Xenopus tropicalis: one gene and its partners. The protein of the gene in region 5 interacts with the protein of the main gene of each other region in a pairwise test. Links are inferred from orthologs where the notes say so. Each region holds a gene or a part of one and is shown on either strand. Other genes may lie near its edges.

What was found.
Region 1: the proteins of bhlhe40 (region 5) and rhobtb3 interact in binary tests that used the Homo sapiens proteins (3 or more experiments, as listed by UniProt). The two-hybrid records come from large-scale screens. The link is inferred for Xenopus tropicalis from reciprocal best matches to the Homo sapiens genes BHLHE40 and RHOBTB3.
Region 2: the proteins of bhlhe40 (region 5) and smyd1 interact in binary tests that used the Homo sapiens proteins (3 or more experiments, as listed by UniProt). The link is inferred for Xenopus tropicalis from reciprocal best matches to the Homo sapiens genes BHLHE40 and SMYD1.
Region 3: the proteins of bhlhe40 (region 5) and aamp interact in a two-hybrid assay, tested with the Homo sapiens proteins (2 studies listed by BioGRID and IntAct). The link is inferred for Xenopus tropicalis from reciprocal best matches to the Homo sapiens genes BHLHE40 and AAMP.
Region 4: the proteins of bhlhe40 (region 5) and naa50 interact in binary tests that used the Homo sapiens proteins (3 or more experiments, as listed by UniProt). The two-hybrid records come from large-scale screens. The link is inferred for Xenopus tropicalis from reciprocal best matches to the Homo sapiens genes BHLHE40 and NAA50.
Region 6: the proteins of bhlhe40 (region 5) and stk19 interact in a two-hybrid assay, tested with the Homo sapiens proteins (2 studies listed by BioGRID). The two-hybrid records come from large-scale screens. The link is inferred for Xenopus tropicalis from reciprocal best matches to the Homo sapiens genes BHLHE40 and WHR1.

What each region holds. Positions count from the first base shown.
Region 1 is NC_030677.2:177,111,647-177,115,167, forward strand, and holds part of rhobtb3 (rho-related BTB domain-containing protein 3), read right to left. Parts: intron 3,493-3,521; coding exon 3,380-3,492; intron 1,037-3,379; coding exon 928-1,036; intron 653-927; coding exon 479-652; intron 1-478. UniProt on the Homo sapiens protein: Rab9-regulated ATPase required for endosome to Golgi transport. Involved in transport vesicle docking at the Golgi complex, possibly by participating in release M6PRBP1/TIP47 from vesicles to permit their efficient docking and fusion at the Golgi.
Region 2 is NC_030677.2:18,423,585-18,426,987, forward strand, and holds part of smyd1 (histone-lysine N-methyltransferase SMYD1), read right to left. Parts: intron 989-3,403; coding exon 825-988; intron 1-824. UniProt on the Homo sapiens protein: Methylates histone H3 at 'Lys-4' (H3K4me), seems able to perform both mono-, di-, and trimethylation. Acts as a transcriptional repressor. Essential for cardiomyocyte differentiation and cardiac morphogenesis.
Region 3 is NC_030685.2:85,167,119-85,169,679, reverse strand, and holds part of aamp (angio-associated migratory cell protein), read right to left. Parts: intron 1,698-2,561; coding exon 1,558-1,697; intron 1,343-1,557; coding exon 1,198-1,342; intron 1,036-1,197; coding exon 952-1,035; intron 746-951; coding exon 630-745; intron 234-629; coding exon 130-233; intron 1-129. UniProt on the Homo sapiens protein: Plays a role in angiogenesis and cell migration. In smooth muscle cell migration, may act through the RhoA pathway.
Region 4 is NC_030678.2:3,211,680-3,214,961, reverse strand, and holds part of naa50 (N-alpha-acetyltransferase 50), read left to right. Parts: intron 1-150; coding exon 151-287; intron 288-3,282. UniProt on the Homo sapiens protein: N-alpha-acetyltransferase that acetylates the N-terminus of proteins that retain their initiating methionine. Has a broad substrate specificity: able to acetylate the initiator methionine of most peptides, except for those with a proline in second position.
Region 5 is NC_030680.2:130,139,853-130,144,127, reverse strand, and holds the start of bhlhe40 (class E basic helix-loop-helix protein 40), read right to left. Parts: upstream 2,812-4,275; 5' UTR 2,720-2,811; coding exon 2,577-2,719; intron 1,826-2,576; coding exon 1,756-1,825; intron 1,106-1,755; coding exon 995-1,105; intron 1-994. UniProt on the Homo sapiens protein: Transcriptional repressor involved in the regulation of the circadian rhythm by negatively regulating the activity of the clock genes and clock-controlled genes.
Region 6 is NC_030684.2:74,175,827-74,178,635, forward strand, and holds part of stk19 (serine/threonine-protein kinase 19), read right to left. Parts: intron 2,760-2,809; exon of another isoform or gene 2,759-2,759; 5' UTR 2,731-2,758; coding exon 2,622-2,730; intron 2,091-2,621; coding exon 1,945-2,090; intron 1,151-1,944; coding exon 915-1,150; intron 1-914. UniProt on the Homo sapiens protein: DNA-binding protein which is required for efficient transcription-coupled nucleotide excision repair (TC-NER). Acts as part of a TC-NER complex which assembles and interacts with RNA polymerase II (RNAPII) when it stalls at DNA lesions.

The sequences.
Region 1 (3,521 bases), on a different chromosome or scaffold from region 5:
ACTTAGTAGCAGCTACTTGTCTGAAACACACGTAGAGACAGTTATCAGTAAATTATTAGCATTGTCTATTTTTGTAGTCGTGACAAGTAGCAGCAACTAGTAGCTTCATGTGTCTTATGGAGGCCAAATACATACAGTATCTAGTACACATTTAGTCCAAGGACCCACAGAGTGGTTTAGTCATCTGCAATAGATCTCTGGTATTGTAGGCTACTAACCACTCCGAAATGCCTTTCCACCAGCAGCAATAGGAGTCACCGTTGGAAAGGCCATTGCATTGCTTCTGTATTCTAAAGTCGCGTACGGTTTCCTCCTGCATTGTGAAGGGCATTCCACTGGCGACCCCTCTTGTTAGTTGCCTGTGTTAGCAGAGATTTATCTTGGGTGACTCAACCTCTCCGTGGGTCCTTAGCCTTAGTAGGCTTGATATAATTAAATATATGCTAATCTTCTGTGGACAAATATATTAAGTTCTTACCAGGACAACAGCAGTCAGTATAAAGATATTCAAGAAAACACAGAAAAGTGTCCTTAGATATGCCATAAATTGGTATCAAAAAGCTTTTTGCTTCCACATAGCTACCACTAAACATGGCAGCCATAACGTCACAGCGTGCTACTAACACTGCCCGATGAGCAGGTATGGTAATATCTGAAATTAGGAAAAAATGCAAAATGTTAATGACATATTTACATGTAACCTTACTGTTTCATATAGTTGCTCTGCATTATATCTGAACAGGGTTTTTATTGTTTCACCTTAAACAACTGGAGAAGGTTTTCTCACTGAACTGAATCTGGTCCTATATTGGTAAAACTTGGAATCTTACGCTAAGAATTACAATTTTGAATTAAAATGCTTCAAACTTCTGCACTACCTGACCAAACAAAACCCTCTTTGTGATCACATGTGCATTTAGACATTACCTTGAACTTGAAAAATGACATCTGCTAACAAAGGAGTGTTAAAGAATATGCCAAGTGCTCTGCAGAACTGCCATGGCTCTGGGCAGTGGGAGGGAGAGCAATCTGTTCCCTGCCAAAAAGCAATCAGAAGAGCAAAATAATAAAATAGTAAATTAGGACTGAAACTGAATTAAAGTTGAAAGCAAGAAATAAATTATTACTAATAAATTTGATAATGTGTTAATACTGAGGTGACAGAATGGAGGAAAATGAGGCAGAAACTTCCCATTTAACTACTGCCATACAGAACAGATTCTCAGCCTTACTAAAAGAAAAAGAGAAAATTGCCCCTCCGCTCCTATCCACTCTTAGTTGTGTCAGCACCCAGAGTTACTGCGTTAGCATGAGTGCAGACACATGGCGTGGATAACGGCATGGAAACATGTGAGTATGCATTTTCATGCTTAATTCTGCTCCATGGGGGGAATTCACAAAAGTGGTGATATTGAGGCAAAATAAAAATGGAGATAGATTTGTTGGATTTTCCACCTTATTCACAAACCTCTATCTCCACTTTTGTGAATTTGTCTTTTAAACAGACAGTTTTCAGATTTTGTCATTTTCCTGACAATTTTTTTTGTGAATTTGCCTTTAGCTCTTAGTAAATCTGTCAGTGCCACCAAACCCGGCCCCACATCTACATGGGATAAGGATTTTACCAGCAGGATTTTGCATTTCATGAGCCATTTGTCATTTCAATTTAGGGGCATTTCCTGAGGGGTAATTTTAGTTTGCCTGGGAAAACTTTACATCATTTTTTTCAGGACAAGCTGGGCTTTGTAATGTTTCCTATATTTCTTTGTAATTCCACTAAATACCTTTTTCTCTAGCCCCTACTCATTACTGGTCAGCAGAATTCTGGCCCATACACCAACATGCCCAGTGAAAAGAGGTCCAACAGTACTAGGGTCCATTGGGTTTTTATCCAGTGCCCTGTTGGGCCAGTCCAACCTTGTGCCAGTGTGTATGTGCTGCTTGCTGATCCCCAAGATGGCTGCTGGGAACAGAAGGGACACAGGTAAAGGAGGTGGCCAATGCTATCAAGCAGCTCTGTAGTTCTGGATATGCTATAGGGGCACAGAAAAGTTGGGGCAAGTGTAAGTGAAGTGATTAATAAGGGGGCACTGCCTGGAAGGTTTTACTTTTCCTTTAAATAAAAATGTTACTGATTCATTAAGCTAGCATAACAATGCAAATGTTAGGTAAAAACTTTTTACATAATTTTTATAACTTTTCTACCAGAGGTGTGAAATGAAGACTGGGTGAAACACAACAAAACAGATGAGTTTAGAATTGGTCTGACAGAGTTACACTGAGTTTTACTCCATTTTGAAAATGGTGGGGAAAAATGTCAGGAAAAAAATGTCCTTAAAACATCATATAAATTTTGTTTCAACAACAAATTCACAAAAGTGTCTGTAAACTGTCTTTCTTTCACCAAAAACTGTAAAGTGACGTTTGAGTCGGAATTTAGGCAGATTTCTGTTTGTGAATATGGAGAAAGTGTTTTCCACCACTTTTACTGCATAAAAGGGCTATCCCCACTTTTGTGAATTCCCCCCATGTGTCTGCACCCAGGCCAGTGCAGTGACTCTGGGTGCAGACACAAAAACAGCAGAAAGGGGCAGAGGGGCAGTTTCTTGGCCTGTGTTTATATGAACCCGAGAAGCTTCTCCACGTGGCAGCAGCATTTTAGATGATGATCTGTATTACTTATATATATGCCATATTAATATATGTATCACTTTTATTTAGCCGTTACATTCCATGGTTTCTGGTAAAGATTCTTAGTAGCCTCTCTCATGTTATATTACAAACCACTGGTATGCATTTGTATAATGTTATATTACAAACCAATGGTATGCATTTGTATAATACAGGTATGGGTTCGGTTGTCCAGAAACCTATTATCCAAATCTCCAAATTACGGGATGGCCATTTCCCATAGACTCCAGTTTTAATCAAAATATTCTAATTTTACAACAGTAACTTGTATTAGATGGTAACTAAGCTGTATGAATCAATACTGGTGGCAAAACAATCCTATTGGTTTTAATTAATGCTTACTTTATTTTTAACAGGTCTTTCCATAATTTTTTTCTTCATACCTTATGTTCTATGAATTTTGCATAAAAGGTCCTATACCTCTATTATTAATTGCACTAATTCCCCCGCCATTTGTGTCAGTAAGTTACCCACAGACCCATAATTTTTTATGCTGTACAAGACCCAGGATTCATCTCTAAACAGGGGGCATATACAAATAACTAAAATATTTTCAGACACATCTACTCCCCTACCTGGTTGTCTATTTAAGCAACATACATGGGACATGTACCCTACATCTCCCAATACATCCCCAGATGTGCTCCTGTACAATAATATAATCATTCTGAAGTAGAATATAGCTGACCTTGCCTGATGTTTTCAGGATACACCGAACCGTGTGAATAATACGTGCAACATCTTCAGGATCCTCTATCCTTTTTCTAAGTTGCTGTTTAAGCAAATACCACTGATGAGCACCTGTAACAGAGGGATCAATCAATACTGTG
Region 2 (3,403 bases), on a different chromosome or scaffold from region 5:
TACAGAGGCTGCTATGCTCAGGGGAACACAAAAATGCATATCACAGGGCAGAACCTGTTGGGGGTTTGAGGTGGATCAGTGTCCATCAATGACCATGTAGGGCATTTTTTTTTCTGCAGCGGCTCCATTCGATCTGGCCAGCTGACTGGTGGGCTAATAATTGGGTCTCCTGGACAGGTAATCCTGCTAATTTATTAGTTTGGGGCCACATGATTACTGGTGGTAAGGGGACAGTTACTGCTGAGTTGTGCTCAGTATAAGGCAGGGATCCCCAGCCTTTCTTACTCATGAGCCACAGTCACATGTAAAAGGACTTGGGGAGCAATACAAGCACCATAAAAGTTCATGGAGGAGCAAAATAAGGGCTGTGATTGGCTATTAGGGGCCTCTATGCACCCTATCAGCTTACAGGGGCTTTATTTGGTAGGAAATCTTGTTTTTATTCAACCAAAACTTGCCCCCAAGTCAGGAATTCAAAAATAACTCCCTGGTTTGGGGGCACTGAGAGCAACATTCTGGTTGGGGATCACTGGGATAGGGGAACACCTACTGTGTGCTGACATTGGATAGGCTGGTATGGACAAATTAAACTAGTTTGTTTATGCTAATACTGAGCCTGCACAATGACAATATTTCCAGATGGACCATACCCCCAGTGTTGCCCATACCCCTGCCTTTTGTCACCAGTGACAGTTTCCATACTATTGTTACAGTAAATAACAGCCAATACACTATGATTATGTTGCCATGCAGAGTTTCATATACAGTGCTATATGGTATGATTCAGGCCAATATACAATAAACCGGATTAGATACAAACTCACAAGTATCCGTCGACCATTTTCTTGGCATTTTCTGCGGCATCATCAAACATTTGCAGATAAGAGAGCACTTCGGAATAGATGCTCAGGATCCGTAACATGTAGATGTTGGTATCAGCGAAAATGGGCTCCTGTCTCTTCAAGCAGTCCCGGCAGAGCTTCACCACCTGCGCACATTGCAACGTTACCTCAAATTAAACCTCTCTAAAACTGAACTGGTTCTCTTTCCCCCATCCAACGCTCACATTGTTCCCGAGGTATCTATAACGGTTAACAATTCTACCATCACCCCATCTTCCCAGGCCCGGTGCCTTGGGGTTATCCTTGATTCTGCCCTGTCCTTCACTCCTCATATCCAATCACTTATCAAATCATGTCACTTTCACCTAAGAAATATCTCCAAAATCCGATCATTTATCACCCAAGATGCTGCCAAAATTCTTATTCACTCTCTTATAATATCTCGCCTGGACTACTGTAACTCCCTATTAATTGGCCTTCCCCTCCAAAGACTGTCCCCTCTCCAGTCCATAATGAATACTGCTGCCAGGCTCATACACCTCTCCAACCGCTCCTGCTCTGCCATGCCGCTCTGCCAATCCCTGCACTGGCTTCCCCTACCATCCAGGATAAAATTCAAGCTATTGACCCTCACATTTAAAGCAGTCCATAACTCTGCCCCACCCTACATCTCTGAACTCATCTCTAGGTACCATCCAACCCGCTTGTTACGCTCCTCTACTGACCTGCTCCCCAACTCCTCTCTCATTCCCTCCTCACACGCTCGCATTCAAGACTTTGCAAGGGCTGCCCCCCTTCTCTGGAATTCGCTCCCACAAACTGTCAGACTTTCTCCCAATCTCTCTGCCTTCAAGAAATCTCTAAAAACACATTTATTTAGAGAGGCTTACCCTAATCTAGTTTAGCAATAACCTGTGCCACACCTCTCACAACTCTGGTCATGCCCATTCCCACACCTTGTGTCTCAACCCTTTCTCCTTGTAGATTGTAAGCTCTTTTGGGCAGGGCCCTCTTCACCCCTTGTATCGGTTATTGATTGCTTTATATGTTACTCTGTATGTCCAATGTATGTAACCCACTTATTGTACAGCGCTGCGGAATATGTTGGCGCTTTATAAATAAATGTTAATGTAATGTAATGTAATGTACATCACATGGCATCAACAAGAAGTTAAATGGCTGGTTTGAGGCCAACTTTCTCCTTTATATAGTTGCCAGCATTTAAAAATAATATCCTTGATGCTAGGTCTATTGGGTGGTATGAAACATGCCCAAAAGAGTTTGGGTGCACTGTAGCCACCAATGCAGAATAAGGACAGGCATTACTGCTTTCTGCTCATTGGAACAATATATTAATGTAGCATTGGACATCAAAACATTAATGTCCAATACTCTGAGGTATTTTTAGGGACAGGTATTACCTGGAGTCAAAAATCGAGACTGGAAATTAAGGAAAGTTGGCAAGTATTGATTATAATGATCAAAAGAGCCTCTTTTAAAACTATAAATACCTGCCACTCCATTTGTACTCAACCCAGGTTACTAAATGCCCTCCAGTCTAGCAGCCAGTGAAGGGATGGCACTGCTGGTTTTCATAAAAACTCTGCTCTATCTGTGCACTTTGCTGGAGAAACATGTTTTTTCTCCTAACCTCCTCTCCTGAGCTCAGCTTTACCATTACAGGGCTCAATCCTAGCTGCCTGTGTAAACCTGCATTCTCCACTGCATAAACTTTACAGTGCACACATGCTGTTTGCAGATGTAAATGTTTTAGGTAAATGTGATGGTGCTGACAACAGAGGCGATATATGCAATACAAATTGTGTGTTTGGGTTGGGGAGGTAAGACCAGACCAGAAAATGTAGGGTTGCCATACCCTTTAAAGGGATTCTATCGTGATTTTTATGGTGTATAAATTACACTGCTAAAAATTTTATTCTTGAACCAACAAATGTATTTGTAGCTGTAATATTGGTGTGTAGGCGCCATCTCAGTGCATTGTGCCTGAGTCTGAGCTTTCAGCCAGCGCTACACATTAGAACTGCTTTCAGCTAACCTATTGTTTCTCCTACTCCCATGTAACTGGAGGAGTCCCAAGCCGGACTTGGATTTCTTACTATTGAGTGCTATTCTGATACCTACTCGGAGCTGCTATCTTGCTCCCTTCCCATTGTTCTGCTGATCGGCTGCTGGGGGTGAGGGGGGGATATCACTCCAACTTGCAGCACAGCAGTAAAGTGTGACTGAGTCTGAGCTTTCAGAAGGAACCAGCGCTACACATTAGAACTGCTTTCAGCTAACCTATTGTTTCTCCTACTCCCATGTAACTGGAGGAGTCCCAAGCTGGACTTGGATTTCTTACTATTGAGTGCTATTCTGATACCTACTCGGAGCTGCTATCTTGCTCCCTTCCCATTGTTCTGCTGATTGGCTGCTGGGGGGGGGGGGAGGGGGGATATCACTCCAACTTGCAGCGCAGCAGTAAAGTGTGACTGTAGTTTATCAGAGCACAGGTCACATGGCTGTGGCACCCTGGGAAATGAAGAATATGGCTAGCCCCA
Region 3 (2,561 bases), on a different chromosome or scaffold from region 5:
ACTGGCATTTTGTATATTGTTGGCAGTAAAAATTAGCTTTCCCTCTGAACTTAAAGGGGAACTAAACATTCTGCATGGGTTATCAATTCAACTCTTAAAGTTCCTTTGCCCTGTAACCCCACCACCTACACATTGCAGAAGCCTAAAGACTCCACTGAGTTGGACTCCGCCTCCCCATCTTCTCGTCTTGAGGCCTTGGACACGTTGCTTTCCGTCTTGAAAACCCCAACAACCTGTAGAGAAAAATTTGATAGCGGCTGAGAAGCTGCCAACCCGGTCTAGAAGGGCTGAGTCTATGGCTAATATTTGCCCATGTATAGCTTTACACTGAGGCACTGGAATCCTGGTCAGGCATCCAAGAAGCAGAATAAGCAACTGCTCAGAATACAATACTATATTGCATTTTGAACAATGGGCAGATGGACAAACCTAAGCGGCTGTCCCTGCTAATACTACCCCTGAGCCCTCTTTTCTAATGGCTTTACCAATACCACATAAAAAAATTGGCAATTCAGCCCAAAACAATGGAGTTTTAGGCAAGACTGATAATGCAAGTAGAGCCCCCTCAAGCACAAGGGCCCCTAAGCGCTAGAGGGCATAGTGAGAAGCATTGGGGAGGTTCCACTCACCTTGCCAGTTGCTGTGTTCACCAACTTTGTGTCACAGTCCACCGAACCCGTAAGTACGAGGCTGCCATCGTTATTAGAGGCGACACACGTGAGAGGCCCGGCGTGTCCATCTGTGCCTGCAATATAGAAATATTCAGTTTTATACAATAAAATCCACCAGGAAATGGCACATTGCTACTTCTCTTAGTGCCCAACCCTGGATCTATGACATCATAACTCATTGACGACTGCTGATGTCATGATGCAACGCTAACCCAAGACTCCAAAGTTTAAAGGGGCAGCATCAACAGAATGTTAACGCAAGGGACACTATGCTATTTACCTTTGAGGACATGAAGAGCATTTCCTTGTTTCAGGTCCCATATCCGCACACTTCCGTCTTCATAGCCCACCACGGCTTTCCTTCCTACACAAATACCAACACTGTCATTTTCCAGGACTGCTACATAAATGTGGCCTTATGGGTAGAACTCAATGGAGATAAGCAAACAAAATCTCTTCCATTTGGAAAGGAACAACAGATACCTATCTATTGTTCCTCTGCAAATGAATTTATTATGGCTCTTACCATCGGGCAGGAACTGGCCACAGGTAGCCGGGCAGCTGGGGCCCTGGAAAGTCTTACACTCGCCACTGGGTATTTTCCACATCCAGGTGTTTCCATCAGCTGTGCCAGCCAGCAATACGTGGGCACAGGGGTGCCATTCCAGCCACTAGCAGGGAGAAAAGGGCAAGTTATTGCCATAGGCCCAATGAGGGGGCAATAATTTGAAGACTCACTGAAACAGCTGATGTGTAATTCAGGTTAAATGAATGATGAAATCAGCTTTGCTATTGGTGGGAAAGCCAAGTTACACCCCCAGCATATCCAATCCAAATCCCAATGCAGACGCAAGGCAAGATATAAGGACCCATTCCATTTCCTTACCTCTAGATCTCCCACCTCGAAAGACCAGATCTCCTCTGCCCCCTCCACCTTCCACACCTTGATCAGGCCACTCATGTCTCCAGTGGCCACCATAGTGGAGTCGTGGCTAAAAACAGCACAAGTAACAGAATCCTTGTGACCTGAGGAAAATAAAAAGGGAAACTTTGAATGGTGATTTTTACAACCATTTGTTTTTATTGCCTGAACTGCAGTTATATGTCCGCAGGCTGGAGCTATATACCAAAAGGTATCCTAAGATGCACATGTAAAGTAGGCCATGAAGGGGTTAAAGAGAACCACATGTAAAGTGCGTGGTGAAAATATTTCAACTTCCGTGTTCATGTGATGAAAAGTCACGTGATTTATGTATGAATATCACTGCACTGGTCAGGAAAGGGTAACTGAGACACTTACCAACACTGTGGGAAGTCCTATTTAACTCATGCCACTTGCCCTTTATAGATCAATCACTCCTATAGCTCTAAACAGGTGGTTCCCCTTTAAGTTAACTCTTAGTTTGTTATAGAATGTTAGCAATTTTTCAATTGGTCTTCATTTCTTATCTTTTATTGTTTCTGAATTATTTGCCTTTCTCTTCTGCCTCTTTCTGTGATACTACACTTTTTATTACTTATCTTTCTATGCAGGCCCCTCTCCTTTTCATTCCAGTTTCTCATGCAAACCACTGCCTGGTTGCTAGGGTAATTTGGAGCCTAACAACCACATAGATTCTAAAATTCCAAACTGAAGAGTTGCTGAATATAAAGCTAAATAATTTAAAAAAAACACAACATTAGAAAAACTAATTGCAAGTAGTTTCAGAATGTCACTTAATTAATTATTGTCAGTTAATTTAAAGGCAAACAACCCCTTTAAGATACCAAGTATGTTTCCACAGTCCAACCCTGGCTGCTGTGTCATGAAGAAACCCCTGCAGGCAAGCAGATGAGACTGCACAGTTGCCCCTTGGGGGGTGGGAGTTAAATAAAAAAGCAGACAAATGC
Region 4 (3,282 bases), on a different chromosome or scaffold from region 5:
GTTTCTTTTCGGCAGTATTACCTTTACATCACTATTTTACACTTAGCGTGGCCACCAGTTTACAGGCCACTAATTCTGATTCCTACGTATACGTATGAGAGCCTTTCCTCGTCCCCTAGTCATAGTTCAGAATATTTTCCTTTGTTCCAGTAGCCGGATCGAGTTGGGCGATGTGACTCCACATAACATAAAGCAACTGAAGCGGCTGAACCAAGTCATCTTCCCCGTGAGCTACAATGACAAATTCTACAAGGATGTGCTGGAAGTCGGAGAGCTCGCCAAACTGGGTAAGGGCTGCAGTGTTTGTGGCAAGCAGGGGTAACAATGAGCATTTGTACATGTGTTTATTAATGGAAATAATGACCCTATTGGCCGGGAAGCCCCGAATATTAATAGTTTTTTCTTGCAGTGTTCCTCGCTGCTGCTCTTCCATTCAGCTGCTCATTTATATCAGAAACTGCCGCCTATTGGACTGGGTGCTGCCTATATTGCTACACATATTCAAGGGGCCCCCTTATTTAGCAGGACTGGTGTGTAACTTAAAGAAAAGTATTTGCTAGGGATTTTATGTGTTACTTTCCCAGAACTCTTTCCTCAAATTCAACTATCCGTAGAAGTTTAGGCCTCTTTATGTCACTGCCTCCTGTTGCAGGCTGCCCACTTTACTTTATGGGCAATGCACTTGGGCCGTAAAGGGGTTGTCCACATTGGAGTTAAATTTTAGTATGATGTAGAGTAATATTCTAAGACAATTTGCAATTGGTCTCCATTTTTTATTTGTAGTTTTTTAATTATTTCAGGGGGTTTTTCAGCAGCTCTCCGGCTTGTAGATTCAGCAGCTGTTTGGTTGCTAGGATCTAAATTACCTTAGCAACCAGGGTGTGGTTTGAATGTAAAGGTGGCCATACACGGGCCGATTCTAGCTGCCGACTTGGCACCTTAAAGGTCTGTGTATGGGCACTAACGACGGGCCTGCCCAACCGACATCTGGCCTGAAATTGGCTAGATATGGATAGGGCAGGTTTAAAAATCTAGTCAGATTGGGGACCGCATCGGCTCATTGATGTGGTCCCTGAACTGACTGTGCCTATGCCCGTCATTCTAACTCAATCTGAATTAGCCAAAAACCGCCCACCCTTAGGTGGGGATATCGGGAGAAGATCCGCTTAGCAAGCAGATCTTAGCGTGTATGTCCACCTTAAGACTGATACATGAATAGGAGCGGGACTAAATAGAAAAATAATATAAAGGCAAAATAACAAAACTGGAGCCTCACAGAGCAATAGTTTTTTAGCTGCCGGGGGTCAGTGACCCCCATTTCAAAGCTGGAAAGGGGCAGAAGAAGGCAAATAATTTATAAACTGTGAAAAACAAATAATGAAGAATAATTTAAAAAGTTTTAAGCATAGAATTGGCCATTGTAAGTAATAAAAATAGCTAGCGGAATTGATCTGACAATCAATTTTTTTTTTTTTGCTGGGGTCCGAGACCCCCAGAAACTAAGTAGCATTTTTTCATTTTTGCAAGCTTGAAACGGGCAGAATTGGGAATACTGAAACAGAAAACCATACAAAGGAGGCCAATTTGTACTTCACTTACTTCCATGGCTCCCTCTACCCCTCAGCAGTGCAGCCCCAAATACAGAGAGTCACTAAAGCCCCACGAGCCTGTCCCTTGTCCAACCTCGTATTAGCACCTCTCAGATAAATAGCTGCACATCTGCTTGGGAAGGCATCCCCCCTCCTTGGCCAGCCGGGTCGCTACAGCATCCCTAGCACCTTCTTCTTTCCACATCTTCTCATATAACATTTTTCTCTTAAAGTGGAATGTGCAGGTCTGAACTGCGTGGGGATTTGGCTTATATTCTAGATCAGGCCTGCACAACTGGAGGCCCACGGGCCCAATGGGTTTTTATGGCCGCCAGTCGGCCTAAAGGTGCCTTAGACTCCTCAGTATATCATCATCATTTTAATTTAATCTGGCCCTCAGGCATGCTATAAATAATCATATAATCAGTTGGTCAGCACTGTTCTAGATAAATTGGTATGTTCACTTTATCCCCTAATGAAAGACTTAATTCCACAGGCACACTAAATTTGAGACCAGGGAGACCACCTTATTTTGCTTTTCTCCTGAGTATTTAGGGCTGCAATTATATACAGGTATGGGATAAATTATCCAGAATGTTCCAAATTATGGAAAGGCCATCTCTCAGACTCAATTATAAACAAATAGTTCTAGTTTTTAAAAAGTGATTTCCTTTTTCTCTGTAATAATAAAACAGTACCTGTACTAGATCCCAACTAAGATATAATTACCCCTTATTGGGGCAGAACAGCCCTATTGGGTTTATTTAATGGTTAAATTATTCCCTTTTCTCTGTAATAATAAAACAGTACCTGTACTTGATCCCAACTAAGATATAATTACCCCTTATTGGGGCAGAACAGCCCTATTGGGTTTATTTAACGGTTAAATGATTCCCTTTTCTCTGTAATAATAAAACAGTACCTGTACTTGATCCCAACTAAGATATAATTACCCCTTATTGGGGCAGAACAGCCCTATTGGGTTTATTTCATGGTTAAATGATTCCCTTTTCTCTGTAATAATAAAACAGTACCTGTACTTGATCCCAACTAAGATATAATTACCCCTTATTGGGGCAGAACAGCCCTATTGGGTTTATTTAATGGTTAAATGATTCCCTTTTCTCTGTAATAATAAAACAGTACCTGTACTTGATCCCAACTAAGATATAATTACCCCTTATTGGGAGCAGAACAATCCTATTGGGTTCATTTCATGGTTAAATGATTTTTCAGTAGACTTGGAGATCCAAATTGCAGAAAAACCCCAGGTCTAAGCATTCTGGATATCCGCTCCCATAACCCATGTTTAATCTGGGCCTTTGTCTTTTAGTCACCATACTATTGTGCTGGTTTCCTTTCCCTTTTCAAGAGTTACTGTGGACATCAAGCAATATATGTGTATGAATAACATGGATAATAATATAATATGGATAACAATCCGATGGTTCTAGTCCCAGTATGTAGCAATGGCTGGTGTGAGTATAGGCACGGGGGTAGCTCTGTGTAGCCTTTCTCCTGAACTGAATTGCTGCAGTTGCAGATCAGGAACCTTCCCTTTCAGGTTACATCTGTCTCAGAAAAGACCTTTTTCTGACATTATTTTAATTAGAAACTTTTTCCCTCAATAAATGTTCTATTAATGCTTAGCATGTTTGTTTTTAGGTCCCTCAGGCCCAGTAACATTCCAGGG
Region 5 (4,275 bases):
TATAAAAGGAAACATAAGAATGGTTATCTGAACATACCGACACCGCTTACTACTTAGCATCCAGTCCTGTAACAAACTGTCTCTGGAAAACTCCATGGCGATGCTAAATTAAAGCTCTGTGATAGCGACCCCCCCCCTCCTCTAGCAACTCTGCTGCCCCCAGACTCTTGGGCAAGCAACAATGCCACCACAGCCTTGTTCTGACTCACACACAGACAAGCAATAGAATCTCCCACTACCTACTTACCCAAGCACCCAATATGCCTAGTCACAGCCATAGATTATATAAATGAGCACAAATATGCTAGAAACAAGTATAAATAGTGCAGTACAATTCCAAACCAACTCAGTGGTGCCTTCCTGGCATTGGCTTTGTTTATTGTGTTTTACGCAGTCACCCAAACACCGCCAGCTATTTCTGCTTTGTCCCCAACTCGTGTTATTGTTTACATTAACTCTTACTGTATTGTAATATGGGAAATACTTGTCTAAAGTCTTTAACCCCACCGAGAATGCACAAGGATACACACGTCACTATTATGTTACAAATTAATGGTGTAGAATGAAATAAATATATATCATTATGTGCACATACAGCACCACTGTGTATCTTGTGGTTTATCAGCTGCTTTCTGTGCACACACATATGGCATCACATGTCTGTTTAATATGTTTTAATCAGATAGGCCAGTAGTTGTGTGATTGTCACATTTATTGAGTGCGTGGCACTGTCACATGTATCTGCTGTGAGTCCATCACATGTATCAGTTTCTTGTTCATGGCGGTCATGTGCATTGATATGGAGCTGGTTTCCCGTGCCTACCACGTGTGCTTGCAGCATGGGGTTATTTTATAAGGAAATGTTGCATCGCGGGTAAACAAAAAATCAGGCCGCTTGCACCCCTGTATTTTGCACCTTGCATTGCTTGGGATAAAAGCCCTTTAATATGACAATACTGATCTCCTACACTGCAGGGAGCAATAGGTAACTTACCGTCAGTTTGAGGTGCTCTGGCAACAGGTCTTTCAGCTGAGCGATGCATTCATTGATCCGATCCCGACGCTTCTTCTCAATGAGCCGGTGTGGCAGCTTGTATGTGTCCTGCTGGATGGGAATGGGGGGGGTAAGTGTTACACACATTTAAACTTAGGTGGCCATCTCAGCAGATACGTGTCATATTGGCTATAGCTGGAAGGTTCCTACAGTAATGGGACAGTATGACACAGTGCCCCCTTGTGTCTGTTCCGTGGCCACTTCACCTACATGTGACAGTCCACGTGAGGCAGGACCATCACTCACACACTGTACAGAACAAGCAGGGCTTTGAGAGGGAGACACACACAGCACGGCATGTACAGACACACGCGCAATGTGACATCATGCCAGCATTCACACCCTTATGGGGTTTAAAAAATAAAAATGGCAAATACTTAAATGCTTAAGAGCCAGTAAGGTTCAAGAATATATATTTATTATATAGTAATTAGAATGTATAGAAGAATGTAGAAACAGCTGACATGAGACAGAGACATGATGGGAGTCGGGTGTTTTCTGGCACATTTGGCAGCAGATTGGCAGCAGGTATATGGAGGAATGTATGTACCAGCTGTAGCTGTGTAGGGCAGTACAGATAATGCCAGTATAAATATAGGCTAATAATGTTTAGAGAAGCACAGGAGCTGTAAAGAAAGTAGAGAAACAAGCCAAAATGTGGGTGCTGAGTGTTGGGTGCCAGGGTTAGAATATTGTCTCACCTTGCTCTCCTCGCACCTCTTCAGAGCTTTCCTGTGTTTAAACACCGGATACATATGGGAGAAATCCATCCTGTGACAAGCAAAGGGGAGATCAGGACCCAAGCAATGGACATAGCCCCCCTCCTCAGCATCATTTTGGTCAAGAGAAATATTCCAAAAACACCCCCCCCCCCCCAAAGTCACTAAGGCTGGAGAAAATGGAAAAGTGGCCCTTCTGGGGGGTCCAACACAAATACCATTTCTACCCAACTCTGGAACCAAGACATTAAACCAACCAGTTGCTGAAATATAATTCCAATAACAAACGCTAACTGCTAAATTAAAGGGATGATGGCCCCTGGGAATAGAAGAACTTTGAGCCCCCCCAAATCTGAGGAAAGGGAAATGAAAAAATCAGGGTTGTCCAACCTGCCCCCCCCCCCCCCCCCCAGCTGTTGTGGAATCCCTGGGGCATTTACAGAATATATGTATAACACTTGTTACACATCAGTCCCCAACCCTCTAATTCCTTGGGGCTCATTAAAAATGCCCCCCCCCCCCAACACCAGCCAGGAGTCCCAGCAGAGCTACAGGGCAACAGGTTCCCTGCACAGGGTGCTGATAGGGGGCACAGGGTGCTGGCAGGAGGCACAGGGTGCTGATAGGGGGCACAGGGTGCTGGTAGGGGGCACAGGGTGCTGGTAGGGGGCACAGGGTGCTGATAGGGGGCACAGGGTGCTGGCAGGGGGCACAGGGTGCTGATAGGGGGCACAGGGTGCTGGTAGGGGGCACAGGGTGCTGAGGCAGAGGTGGTACAGCTCCATTGGCAGCCGGGCACTTACCCAGACAGGGAAGGAGGTCTGTCCAGACAGGCGGGCTGGGCACTGGGCATTCTCTCCATGGCACAATCCAGAGTTGTGGGCAGCCTGAGGGTCTGCGCTTTAGCAATAGAGCAGGTGGGTGTGTATATTCCAGTCAGGGGCATGAAGGTCGGGCTGAGAGTGTGCCCAAGGCTGACACTGAGTACCTTTCCCCGCTAGGTAATGCAGCCCTGCTGCGCCTCAGCCTCTGGTTAAATGGGTGGGAGGGGCGCTGCTGGTGGGAGGGGCGCGCTGGCCCCTCCCTGTGACAAGCCTCACGCCTGGAGCCGGCTGAGCCCCGGCCCCCCGTCATATGGGCCTCACGTGTGGCTCAACGCTCCCTCAGCTGGGGCCGGGCGGGAGGGGGAGACTGGCACTGGGGCCGGCCGGGCGGGAGGGGTAGGAGGGAGGGGGAGACTGGCACTGGGGCCGGCCGGCGGGGAGGGAGAGGCCAGTCACACGGGGGACACACGGGTTAGTACTCGCTGGGAGAGTGACAGCAGGCTCGCCTGACTGAGTAAAGTGCGTTTGGCTGCAGCGTCACACTGGAACTGGAAGCTGCGGCTAAATAGTATTAGGGCCCCCTAAACTGGGGCAAATACAAATGCTTCATAATGTCCCTTATATGTCCCAGCCCGCAGCCCCCCTGCTATTGGTGAACTGCAACTCCCCGCACTGCTCCCCAGAAGCTCCTGCCAGAGGTGCTGCAGGCCGGGCACCCCATCATTCATGCAGCCATTTAGGGGCGACTCCCTGTCATACTCTGGTGCTGGGAAACACATATATTAGGTTGGGGACAGGCTACTTAAACACTGATTTAGTGCAGGGTAAGGAAGGGTGTGTGACCAGGGCCCTTCATCTCACTGCCAGCTGGGAGTTGTAGTTCTACTACAGCTGGAGGATTACTCATTCATTTCCCTTCATATGGAGCCCCCTTACGTCTCCAGCCACCAACACTCTGTATTCTTATCACTCCCCTCTGTATCAACTGCAGTACATAGGCCCTTCCTTCTTGCCTTGTATACACACTGGCATTTATAGGTAAGCGCTTGTAATGTGCTTATAGCATGCACTGAGTTCAACTACAGGTTTTAATAATAGTCTCTGGGAAGGGACTGTGGCTGTGGGATAGCAGGTATAGTAGGGAGAGATGGTGCCTATAGTAGCAGTGGGGGATAATAGCCTCTGGGAAGGGACTGTGGCTGTGGGATAGCAGGTATAGTAGGGACGATGGTGCCTATAGTAGCAGTGGGGGGATAATAGCCTCTGGGAAGGGACTGTGGATGTGGGATAGCAGGTATAGTAGGGAGAGATGGTGCCTATAGTAGCAGTGGGGGGATAATAGCCTCTGGGAAGGGACTGGGGCTGTGGGATAGCAGGTATAGTAGGGAGAGATGGTGCCTATAGTAGCAGTGGGGGATAATAGCCTCTGGGAAGGGACTGTGGCTGTGGGATAGCAGGTATAGTAGGGACGATGGTGCCTATAGTAGCAGTGGGGGGATAATAGCCTCTGGGAAGGGACTGTGGATGTGGGATAGCAGGTATAGTAGGGAGAGATGGTGCCTATAGTAGCAGTGGGGGGATAATAGCCTCTGGGAAGGGACTGGGGCTGTGGGATAGCAGGTATAGTAGGGAGAGATGGTGCCTATAGTAGCAGTGGGATAATAGCCTCTGGGAAGGG
Region 6 (2,809 bases), on a different chromosome or scaffold from region 5:
TCCGGAAAAAAAAATTATTATGCAATAAATATAGGTAGGACAACAACAACAAAAAACAGTGTCAAATGAGGGAAAACTTAAAATCAGGGCATATAAAATTGAAGTTTCCCTGCGATAACTGTGAGGTCTTACCACACAGCTGAGTAGCAATGAAAGTAAGAGGAGGTAAAAGTGAGAAAAATTTGAGCACAGGAAATACATATTTACAATACTGTTAAAGTTAAAGAGCTGATTTACAAACAGGTGCTTGATAGCAGTATGGCAGTTAATACCAGGGCAGTTGCCCATAGCAGCCAATCAGCAGTTACCAAACCATCTTTAAATTTAGCTTGGTAATACAGAAATAAAATGACAAATGCGAAGATTGAGTTTGTGCCCAGCTCTAGGTTGACCCAGTAATACAAAATAAAAAAGCTTAGCTAGGATTTCCCATATAAAGATTTTGCCATGGTGTAAGAGAGGAGATCTAACCACAAATAGAAAATGAATGTAATGTAAACTTACTCCTCTGAGCACTTTTGCAATTTACATTCCTTTTCTGTTTTTAGTGTCAGCAACCCTAACTAACTATATGCTACCTACTGCCCAGTCATTTAACTCTAGGGTCACTGACTACTGAGCTAAAAGCCTGGTATTGACAGTCTTAATACCTAAAATAAATGAAATGCAAAAGTGCTCAGAGAAATAAGTTCACATTTTGTATTCTAACCTATGTCTTGCATACCATTGTAAAGTTCCACTAAATTTCAAGTGGGGCTTCTTTTTTCCATTTGGATGCAAATAAACATCTACCTGCGACAAACTTTTAATGATTTTCTAGTTTTATAGACTTGCATATTTATTTTCTTCTGGTATCCCACTTTCCTCCTCAATTATTTTACAGTACCCTGTCCACTGCAACCCCATTTGCTTACGTTATTTCTCCATCACTAAAGCGGTGTTTCATCATCACTTCATCTCTGCCGTAGCTAATTTTGGGTGATAACAAAAGATCACAGTCCAGGAATTTGCGGACAACAGTAGCCCGTGAGCCCCCTTCACTGCTGCTGAGGGCGGTCCTACGTAAGTCATCAGTCATTACAACCATGAATGTGTCAGGATCAAATCCAGTCTGAACTAAACACACCTCCCCTTTTTGCTGGAGGGAACTCTGAAAGAAAAGGAATGTGATTATATAGAAGGGAGTATAGACAAAAATCAGATTCCAATACAGATTAAGACTGGTAAAAAAACAAAAATGCAAGAGAAACGAAGCAAGAAGAGGACTACTGAGGTGGCAGATCCAGAAAAATACAGCAATATGATAAGTCATATGTCATTAAAATATTTTTTGTGCATCCTATTGAATCAACAAACATCTATGTACAATATACTTCCCTGCTGACAGATACAGAAAAATGTCAAATCAGAGAAATGGATTTTGCAATATATATATTATATGTTATGTATATATATATTATGTAATACACCTGGTATTTTAGTCTGGCTGGTCAGTAATCCAGGCACAGCCTCTGAACTGCTACAATTTGCAGCATCTGTGGAACATTAGTAACTACTGTATCAATTCTAACAGCTACCTTAAATTAAACTCAAGGATTATTACTCAACAGGGCCAAAGATAAGAAATGTATCAACTCATGTATGTAACAATTAGAACATGAAGAACATAGAATAACTCCCCCCCCCCCCCAAAAAAAAAGCTACTCCAGAAGATATGGTAGGTGAAAATGAAACTTTAAGTTCAATATTAGAAACAGGGTCAACTGGGCCAATGGGACACCGGAAACAACCTAGTGGGCCCTGTTTAATGGAAATTAAACGTTTGCTATGTGAACGACCCATTTAGCAGCACAACACATAGGCAGCTTTGAACACTATAATGTAAGTGTCAGGGATCTTTTTTAATGAAATACCTATTTAAATTTGACTTATTTTATCACTCACCAACAATCTGTCTACTGCTGTGCGATCTTGTAAAAGACTGTATAGCTGATGTTTTAGAAAGAGAGGAGGCAAAGTATCATTGAATAATTTACGGGGAAAGAGGGCACACAGGTATGAGACGGCTCCATGAGGGTCCTCCGTGAAGTCTGAAAATAAGACGCACGAAAATGGAAAACCATTAAACGAGAAGGAAAGGTAAAAACTGAGTAAGCTTTATCAGGAAGGTCTAATGTAATGTAGGTGTAAATACAGCCATAAGCACTCACAGAAAAGCTGCACTGAGTTCTCTGTCAAAAGAAACAGGATTTGTTGTCTGTTTGTTTTCCTGTGCCAGAGACACGAAGCTCTTTCCTCTCTCCTGCTCCCTCCCCCCCCCCCTTAGGAATGTGTGATCTGAACCAATCAGCAGGAAGCTTCCTCATAGTCTAACAAACTGGGCATGTACACTGGTCTTGGTGCAGGAGCAAGGCATTATGGGAAGTTTCTTTACAGAGGTCAGCAGTTTTTTTTTCCTATGAGGCTTCTGATCATCTGAATGGGAGAAATATGGGGAGACTTAAGGGCGCTATTGAGAGAACTGAAGGTATGCCTGCAGCTTGAGATTAACTCTTTATTTTCCTTTCCTTCTCCTTTAAAAAAACACAATATTACTAATAGAAAATGCATTTCCTCGTTACCCGGATACGGAGAAGCAGATGCTTTTAGATCTGTTCCATCTCTCGAACAGCTGTCTCGTAGCTTCTTCACTTTGAATGCATCACAAATTAATTTTCTCTTGCGATCCATAAAATGGCAAAGAAGTGAGAAGCCTGACCTGCAAAAATATTTTAAAGAAAACACAGTGTGAGTGAGAGAGCAAGAGAAA